Canis lupus familiaris: one gene and its partner. The protein of the gene in region 1 interacts with the protein of each later gene in a biochemical or structural test. Links are inferred from orthologs where the notes say so. Each region holds a gene or a part of one and is shown in the gene's direction. Other genes may lie near its edges.

Evidence for each region. The genes of interacting proteins can lie anywhere in the genome.
Region 2: the proteins of APBA1 (region 1) and CNTNAP4 form a complex in vitro, tested with the Homo sapiens proteins (2 studies listed by BioGRID and IntAct, with this or other methods). The link is inferred for Canis lupus familiaris from reciprocal best matches to the Homo sapiens genes APBA1 and CNTNAP4.

The regions. Positions count from the first base shown.
Region 1 is NC_049222.1:88,641,849-88,645,931, forward strand, and holds part of APBA1 (amyloid-beta A4 precursor protein-binding family A member 1), read left to right. Parts: coding exon 1-110; intron 111-2,104; coding exon 2,105-2,317; intron 2,318-4,083. UniProt on the Homo sapiens protein: Putative function in synaptic vesicle exocytosis by binding to Munc18-1, an essential component of the synaptic vesicle exocytotic machinery. May modulate processing of the amyloid-beta precursor protein (APP) and hence formation of APP-beta.
Region 2 is NC_049226.1:75,321,209-75,326,053, reverse strand, and holds the start of CNTNAP4 (contactin-associated protein-like 4), read left to right. Parts: upstream 1-1,934; 5' UTR 1,935-2,432; coding exon 2,433-2,517; intron 2,518-4,845. UniProt on the Homo sapiens protein: Presynaptic protein involved in both dopaminergic synaptic transmission and GABAergic system, thereby participating in the structural maturation of inhibitory interneuron synapses.

The DNA.
Region 1 (4,083 bases):
GGATCAATCCTGAAGATCTCAGCCAAAAGGAATATAGTGACCTGCTCAACACCCAGGACATGTACAACGATGACCTGATCCACTTCTCTAAGTCGGAGAACTGCAAAGATGTATGTACCTCAAGCTCAGTTAGCCGAGCAGAGGCCCCGGGGGAGCCCCACCATGGAAGGAAGGTGGAACAGCTAGGGAACGGGGGGAGGTGGCAGGACTTGGGTGAGGTCTCAGGCTCATCTCTGGCTCCCCTCTCCTAAGGGCCTGTCATTAAACACCACTGTGGAGGGCCGTCCCCAGGATGGAACATCCTCTGCTCCCAGCAGCCGTGAGCTAAGTTTGGGGTGGCTTCCAGAGGTGAACAGGACCTAAAGCCCGCCCTTTCCAAGCCCACTATCTAGGAAAGGGCACAGAAAAGTTAAGTGACAGTGCCAGGCATGAGCACGAGTCAGAGACAGCTGTTAGAACAGAGTGGAGCAGGTGTCAGGGCTCGGGTGACAGGTGCTGCGCTGCTCCTGGGGTGGCCCTGTGGCTTCAGACAGAACTTTGGAGGAGAACGCAGCCATCTAAGGTGGTCTGGGGGTCCAGGTAGTCTTCAGAAAGCAGGAAGGATTCGAGAGGGCTGGGCCAAAGTAACAGAAGCGTTGAAGGTCAGAAAGCTCAGGAACTGTCTGGGGAGCCATGCACAGTGGAGCACTGGGGATGCGGGAGAGGGTGCAGAGAGGCCAACACAGGGCTCAGGTCAGAACCAGGGGCTTGGAAGTCTAGCCGAGGGGCTTGGGTTTTATCCAGTAGACAAAAGGACCTTTAGGAGAAAGTGATCTCTTGGCTCACGAATGTCCTCTGTTGGGCAGAGGAGTCGGTAGGCCTTCGAACCCATGCCAGGCAGTCATGGACACCACCTACACGGGGCAGGGGCAGTGTGCTCGGGCTGCCTTAGCACAGTCCTGCAGACTGAGGGGTCGGTTCCTTCGGAGGGCTGTGGGGGGAAGGGTGTATTCCAGGCCCTTACCCTGGCTGGGAGAGAACGGCCTTCTCCCTGTGTCTTCACATGGGCTTCCCTCTGTGCATGTGTCTGCAGCCAACCCCCCCCCCTTCCTGTGAGGACACCCGCCACCTGAGTGGTGGCCCACCATAATGACCTCACTTTACTTTCACTGCCTCTGTAAAGACTCTGTATCCAAACAAGGTCCCATCCTGAGGTCCTGGGAGTTTGGCCTCCAACGTATGAATTTCAAGGGGAACATAATTCCACCACCCATAATGGGAGTGTCTCCCACTGGGCAGCTCCCCCGCGGAGTGGCTGGCTGTGAGAGAAGGGCCACCAGCCTGTGAGGGGCCGTGTCAGGCCCCAGCAGCCGCCACCACGGTGTGTGTTTGAGTGTACGTGTATTGGTGAATATGAATAAATAAATACATATACACACTCTTTGTCAGAGGCTTTCAAAAGGTGTCCTGCCCCTTGGTGGTGTCCCTGCAAACCTTCCCACACTGCCAGTAGCCAAAACTGACTCCTGTCTTCTCTGCCCTGCCGAGGAAGCCACACAGAAGTAAGCCCATCTAGAACGTGGTCTTGCTACTTGCACTTCCAACCTTTTTGGTTGCACTAACCCTAGCATCCTTTTTTTTTTTTTTTTTTTCATTTTTCTTCAGCTTACTCCCTGCAAAGAAATGTTTCTGTAACATCTATTTGTTTATTTTTAACTCCAGAATCTTAAATGTTGGAGAGAATTTGTGAAGCGCTGTGCAGTAGGGCAGCCTGTGCATAGAATCCAAAAGCTATTTCCAGAAACCTTAACACACCCGCGAAGTCCCCACCCACTCAGCCTCTCTCCCTGCTCCCCGGGGACTATACAAAAAGGCACCCCGCGCCCTTTGTGTTCATACAGCCAAGGCATGACTGCTTATGTGAAACAAGAATTATAAGAAACCTATTGTTACATCATTTCTTACCAAATGCCATGGAATCGAGAGAAGACAGCACTGGTCTGGGTCAGAGCCATCAAGGCAATGCCTTTCTTCTTTAGGTGGGACAGGACGTGGGGGAAAGCTTCGATTTATGTACCCTGGGAGGATGCTGATTCGGGTTTTTGGCTTTGTCTTTTCCTTTCAGGTATTTATAGAGAAGCAGAAAGGAGAGATCCTAGGCGTGGTGATCGTGGAGTCTGGCTGGGGTTCCATCCTGCCAACCGTGATCATAGCCAACATGATGCATGGGGGCCCTGCTGAGAAATCAGGGAAGCTGAATATCGGGGACCAGATCATGTCCATAAACGGCACCAGCCTGGTGGGCTTGCCTCTGTCCACCTGCCAGAGCATCATTAAGGTACCTGCAAAGTGGGAAAAGGTGACTAATGGTGTTGACCTAGATGGATGAATCCGTGACTGACACGTGACTGCTTTTCAGTCATTCAAATTAGGAACATGCACCAGGTGTCGGGCTGAGGAGGACATGGATACAAAAGGCATGGGCTTGCACTCAGGCTCTGAACCCCCAAGTTACTAAGACAGACTCCTCCCGGATATCATCTCTAGATCACAGACAGTAGTATATTTGGCGCACATACCACCACTCTCTATACTGCGCCTTTTGTAGGCATCACTAATCAATCGCAGCACTCTTCCTAAGCCTAGACTCTGCCTCAATCAAATTTCCTGCCGCTCAGTAACCCAGACAGTCACCTACAGTCAGCTAGATGTACTCGAGGTGCTTGGCCACTCCTGTTACACAAATAGTGGAAATGCTTCCAGTCTGAGAGCACGGTTTCCTTGGCAGCATCCGTGGCTGTGATCCAAGGGAGCACGTCCTCCCCAGAACGTGCGTAATGCAGTCCACACGTGCCGGGTGCCGTGCGAAAGGGGGAATCTTCTGGTACAGGCTGCATGCTTCCTCTCACACCTGAGCATAATTAATTCTCGTTCCACCTGAACGGACATTCTTGTGTAAGGCTGAGAATAGCTCCTCACGTGAAACTAAAATGTGAATATCTGTGAGGAAGAAATTAGATTTTCTTCTTAGAAACAAAGCACCCATGTGTAGTTTGTCGAGCACATTGGGACTTGCTGACTGCATGGCCAGTAGGAGCATTGCTCCTTCACCACAGGATCTGTCGACCCCAGCTCCGTGCCACGCACCATGACCCCACAGGAAAACAGGTTCCATGACTCACTTTCATCCCCTGGGGTTTCCTGGAGGCCTATGAGCTAGAACGTAGCTGTGTGTGTGTGTGTGTGTGTGTGTGTGTGTGTGTGTGTGTGGTGTGTGTGTGTGTAGGGAGCACAGGGAATGAATGGATTCATATAATAGTTATCCCAAACTCAGGAAAGTCACAAAAGCTGACATCCGTGGCTGAGCAGTTCAAGGGGTGGGGGGTAGTCAAAGTGAGTGTGGAGGATGCAGGGCTGGGTGCCTCTTCGTTTTTAATGAAACAGATACATTCTGATTCCTCAAAAGATTATCTTACCCAGAGAAAAAACAGTCCTCTTTGGCTTCACTTAATTTCTTCTTGTTACATCTTACACTGAAATAATTTCTACCCTTTCTTAATAGACATTAAAGATTAAAGAACCTAGAGGCTCAGTTGGGAGAGTCAGTTGTGACTCCTGATCTTGGGGTTGTGAGTTCAAACCCCACATCAGGTATAGAGGTTACTTAAAAAAAAAGATTGAAGAATCCACTTTGAACATTCATATTCATTCAGGCATGTGTTGGGCCTCTGTTAGGCTGAGCTGAACTATGGTGAAGCCAGAATGTCAGGAAGATGATTCATAATTAAAGGGGTTCCATGTTGGGGCCTGGGTGGCTCAGTGGGTGAAGCATCTGCCATCAGCTCAGGTCATGATCCCAAGGTCCTGGGATCGAGCCCCGCATTGGGCTCCCTGCTCAGTGGGGAGTCTGCTTCTCCCTCTGCCCCTCCCCCTGCTCATGCTCACTCAGTCTCTCTCTCTCAAATAAATAAAATTTTTTTAAAAAATAAGATAAAAGGGTTCAGTGAACCCTCAGAGGCAACATAGAGGTGAAGTGCTACAAGCATGGAGGAGAATTTTACCTGATTTTTAAGGTGGGCTTGGAAAGAGAAGTAAGACATAGGT
Region 2 (4,845 bases), on another chromosome or scaffold:
CTGAATTCATATCGAGGCTCCTCTGCAAAGTCCACGTTCTCTCCCTTGCTTCATATTGTCGGGGCAATCTTTCCTCTGTGTGGTCATCAGACAGGGGCAGGTGTTGTGGAGGATTGAAATGTTGCTATCTCTCCAGTACCAGCCTCCACCTCATTCTATAGCCATAGCACACTGATATGGAAAAGCCATTATTAATGGCTGCTGCGATGCCAAGAAGTTATTATTGGCATGAAAGGTTCGGTTGTTTTTCACTTACATGTACTGGTCCTTTTAAAATACATTCTCTAATTTGTTTTATGGGAACAATTAAGTATAAAGTTTTATTTTTATTTTTTATTTATTTATTTATTTATTTTTAAGTATAAAGTTTTAATAGGAAGACAACTTTTCTCCTCTGGGGAGCCCAAGAGCCTGTTCCTCAGTGTGGAGTCATTGAAAGTAATGATTTTAGAGCTTTGCAGGCCAGAATGTCAAGTCCAGCCTTCTGTCTTACTCACTGTGGCACTCTGGGCAGACTGTTTAACTTCCCTGAGTTTCAGTCTCTTTGCTATATAGACATAATGGTAGTTCCCTCAAAGATTGCTATAATAATTTAATTAGATAACAAATGAGTAGCATGTGTTCAATAAATTTAATCCCCTTTAATAATTACCTAACAGAAATGTTCAGTTTGTATCTGCTTTTGCTTAATATATTATTTTGGAAAATAACAAAATCAGGGATGTAGGCCTAGGAATACAAGTACACACTCAAACAGTGACCTTTCTTTCCCCTGCTGGATTTTTCCCCGGGGCCTCAAGTTTTAGCCACCATTGACAGGTCAGAGAGGAGGTGGATTCTGATGCGAGGGGCAGTAATTCCCAGGGTGAGAGCAGTAAAATTGGAGTCAGAAAAACAAAGTCCAATCATCGATACTTAACTAACTCTATGACCTCTACAAAGTATTTAAATTCTCTGTTCTTGTTTTTCTCATCTGTAAAGTAGGAAAAGAAAAAATATCTGTTCTGCTTTGTTTGTAGGTGAAAGCCAAACATATTTCTTTAACTCTTATGATTATACAGGAGGATGCATCTGTCCTTTTTTTCTCCTTATTTCATTTAATCCATAGCAAGGATAGTGTTGCTACAGGCTTATGTCTTCTAATTTGTAATCACCAAGAGATGCTTGAGAACTCTAGGATTCCTATTCTTATGAAGTCTAGCACATTATCAGTTGAGTATCTTCACACTTATTTTAAAGAAATTATTCATCCTCTTTAAATGATACCATGTGATACATTTATTATGTGATATTAACTGTTATTTAAATTTTTAAATATTCTATTCAAGAAATAGCAGTATTCATGCATCAGCCATTAGGAGAGTAATTTTTCTGTAGTCGGTGAGGTTCTGATCTCAACTTTATTCCTCTCTCCTTTAGAACATTTGAATTACATCTTTATGTTGTTTAGGTTTGGGGTGTGTGTGCATGTGTGTGGGGGGGTCCCCTTTTTCAGAATCCCATCATTCTTCATTTCAGGCCTTTTGGGAATTGTTATTAAAGAATTTGTAGAATGCAGCTGCCTATTCACAGCACGATGCATTCATCAAAATAAATCCATTTAAAGCGTTCAATTTGTGGATTTGTCCTCCTGATGCACTAAAATAAGAAATGTTAATTTCTTGCAGACTATTACCAGATGATTCTAAATATCTGCCAAACAGGAATGTCTGTTTCCTTGTGAGGAATTTCCATAATAAAATCCTGGCTCCATAGCTGAAAAGGATAGTTTTATATAAACAGAGAAAAACAACAGCAAGTATTTTCCCTAAGGGCACTTTCAGCTACAATTTACCAATACTGCTTAGTTATTTCTGTCTTTTATGCTTTTGTTTTGAAACAACGCAGTTTTACCTGGATGCCCTCCCGGATATTCAGGAATTAGCTCAGTGTGTTGACTGGATCTGCTAAAGGCAAGACCTCCGGAAAATCGGGAGGCTCCACCGCCTCCCCCGCTTCCCTCACCCACATCTCCAGAGGGGAGAAAGGGTTAAGGACTGTTGGAGAATAGCGGGGCGGGGAGGGAGCCCCGAGGAGGCCCGGAGCAGCAGGCCGCGCCTGCAGGTGCAGCTTCCATCAGCGGCGCGGCGCGCGGTGGGCTCTGAGCGCCGCTGTGAATTTGGAGGAGGGACCGCGGCCACCGTCGGGGACCGCCGCGGAGAGGAGTGGGCGTGGCCTGGCCGCTCTGGATGCTTGTTAGGAAAGATGCTGGGTGCTTGTCACTGAGGAGTCAGGGCTGTGTGCGGAGTGTGTGTGTGTCTGTGTGTGCGTGTGATACAGAGAGAGAGAGGAGGGAAGGACGAGAGCTACTGAGAGACCCAAAGGTGCTGAAGACCTAGACAGCGCTTGGAGAGCCACTCAACATCTTTTGGGGGAGCCTAATAAATGTGAACATGGGGTCTATCACCGGAGCTGTCCTCAAGCTGCTACTTCTGTTATCTACTCAAAATTGGAACAGGGTCATAGCTGGGAATTCCTGTAAGTATACAGCAAATGATTTAAAACTTGCAGTGGTGGTTGTGTGTGTGTGTGTGGGGGGGGCCTCTCTGCAAAACTTTAATTCTGTTGTTTTTATGATTATTATTTGCAACTGGAATTGCTGCAGAGCATATTGCTATAAATGAAGCCTCACTTAAAAATCTTGCAAATATGACTGGCTTTACACATGTCTTTCCTCCTGGTCTGGTCAAAATATGCAAAGTGTCATTTCTTTTTTTGTCCATGAGCAGACACTTATCCTCTCGTCTTTGAATATTCATTGAGAAAGCTCAAGTTCTAGTAAAACATTAAATTAGCATCTTAACCAGGGAATAGCCTGTGAATGTCTTCATTTCTTCCTTTTTAAGGATTACTGAATTTTATTGGAATTATGTCTAACAGGAAAACAACTGGCAGACTTTACATTATGCTGCATTAGCTTAGATTTCTGAAGTTTGCACTGGCAGACTGATAGCTGGCTGCATCTTTAAAATGATGCCGGGCTAATAACTGAAATGCACTGCAGAATTCAGGAGCAAAACTGGTGGAGGTGAACCCCAGTATTAAGAATCGTGCCCTCACTCTCTAAAGATTTAAGTACTCTTGAAAGAGGGGGCTTGATTCCTCCATTTTGCTTAAAGGGAAAACATTCAGGTGATTTTTTTCAAAGTGTTAATTCTTAAAAGTGTTATTTTTAACTTTATATATTTGTGATTGAATAGTCTAAGTTAATTGATTCAGGGAAGATTTATTAAGACCTCATTTCTTATTTAAGTATCATCCAAAATAATTTGGCAGAACTCTCTTCATCCACTTTTCATTAGAGATAGAAAAAGTTTAAAAAGTTATATTTGGCTTAAAAATCCCCAGATGGGAGAATTTTCCCCTCCCCGATGAGTGATAAATAAGCTCTGCACATTCAACTCTTTATCTCTCTCTCTCTGATTTAAAAAGAAAAGCTCATTTGCTTTTCCAGAAAGGGCTGTGAGGCCTGTTCAGGAATTTATGTTGTTACTGTATAACCAGGTTTAGGTTTAGGGGATACAAATAAGCCAGGAGTCAGGCATTTGCTATGGCACATCCCTTGAGCACACTAAAGCACTCTGATGTGGAAAAAACATGATAAACAACCTTTCTGGCACAAGTCAAATGTCCATTTACACTGCATGTCTGTGATTTCAGGTTCCCATGCAGTATCAGCTCATTTAATAGCAGAGTGTATCTATCACTGGAAGAAGAGAACATCCCTCAGATGCTGCACTGTGTTTCAGATTCAGTTTTAATTTGGTTGTATAAGAATTCCATGAGACAAGAATATTTGCATATTTTCACCTGGTCAGAATCTTGGAATGCTGTAATAGTAGCATTTGACGAGCGTTGCAACAAACAGACAATAACTAGACAGACACACACACACCCATGCACACAAAGTTTTGTAGAGAAGGTATAAGTAATTCATCGTCCAACTACAGAAGTTCAACAAAAAAGGAAGGCACTAGAGGTCACTCTTACAATGTAAAGCACATCACTTGAAGCATCATTCCCTTCAGAAAAGCAGAGCTTAAGTCTGGCCTAGACACAGTCATGTCTTTCTAAGACACTGCCTGTATTGGGGTTAATAATACATGAATATGATTGCTGTGTATTTGATTGAATGTTTTCTTGAAGTCCAATAAAAGGCAGATTGACATTAAATAGCTTTTTTTGTTGTTGTTGTTGTTATATATCTTTTTAGTGAAGGGCAGAGAGACCTGAGTAGAGCAGAACATTCAAGGGTGCTTAGCTTTGGCTGGGTCTCTGACTAACACTTAAAATTTCAACCCTGGCTCTGTATTCTCTCAGCTTTGGTTTGTTTATGATGTAGTTAAATGCTCTTCTAAACATTTGAAAAACTTAAAGAACTTATAAAATTTTAAATTATTAGGTATTATTTAAATATTAAAGTTGGAGATCTTGATTACCATATATATTGAGTTGACAGTTCTTAAAGTGTCAAAAATGCAATTAAATGCCCTCATATCATTAAAATTGCATTGAATAATTTCTTGTTAGTATCACTTGTATGATTTGCAATAATATATATTTGAGAAGGAGAAAAATTCATTTCCTAATTTTTGTTTTATTCTTTAATACTTAGTTTTTTTTTTAATTTTTGGAAGGAAGCAAGGTCTACTTACTATGAAGGTGCTTTATATGTTTCATCTTGTTTGAAAGAACAAGTGTATGTGTTTACCAATTAGGCTGCTATTCAGTGTGTGGGCAAGTGACCATCAACCAGCACAAGCAGTTTTTTAGATTTTTAAATGTTTTTCAGCATAAGCGCTTTTG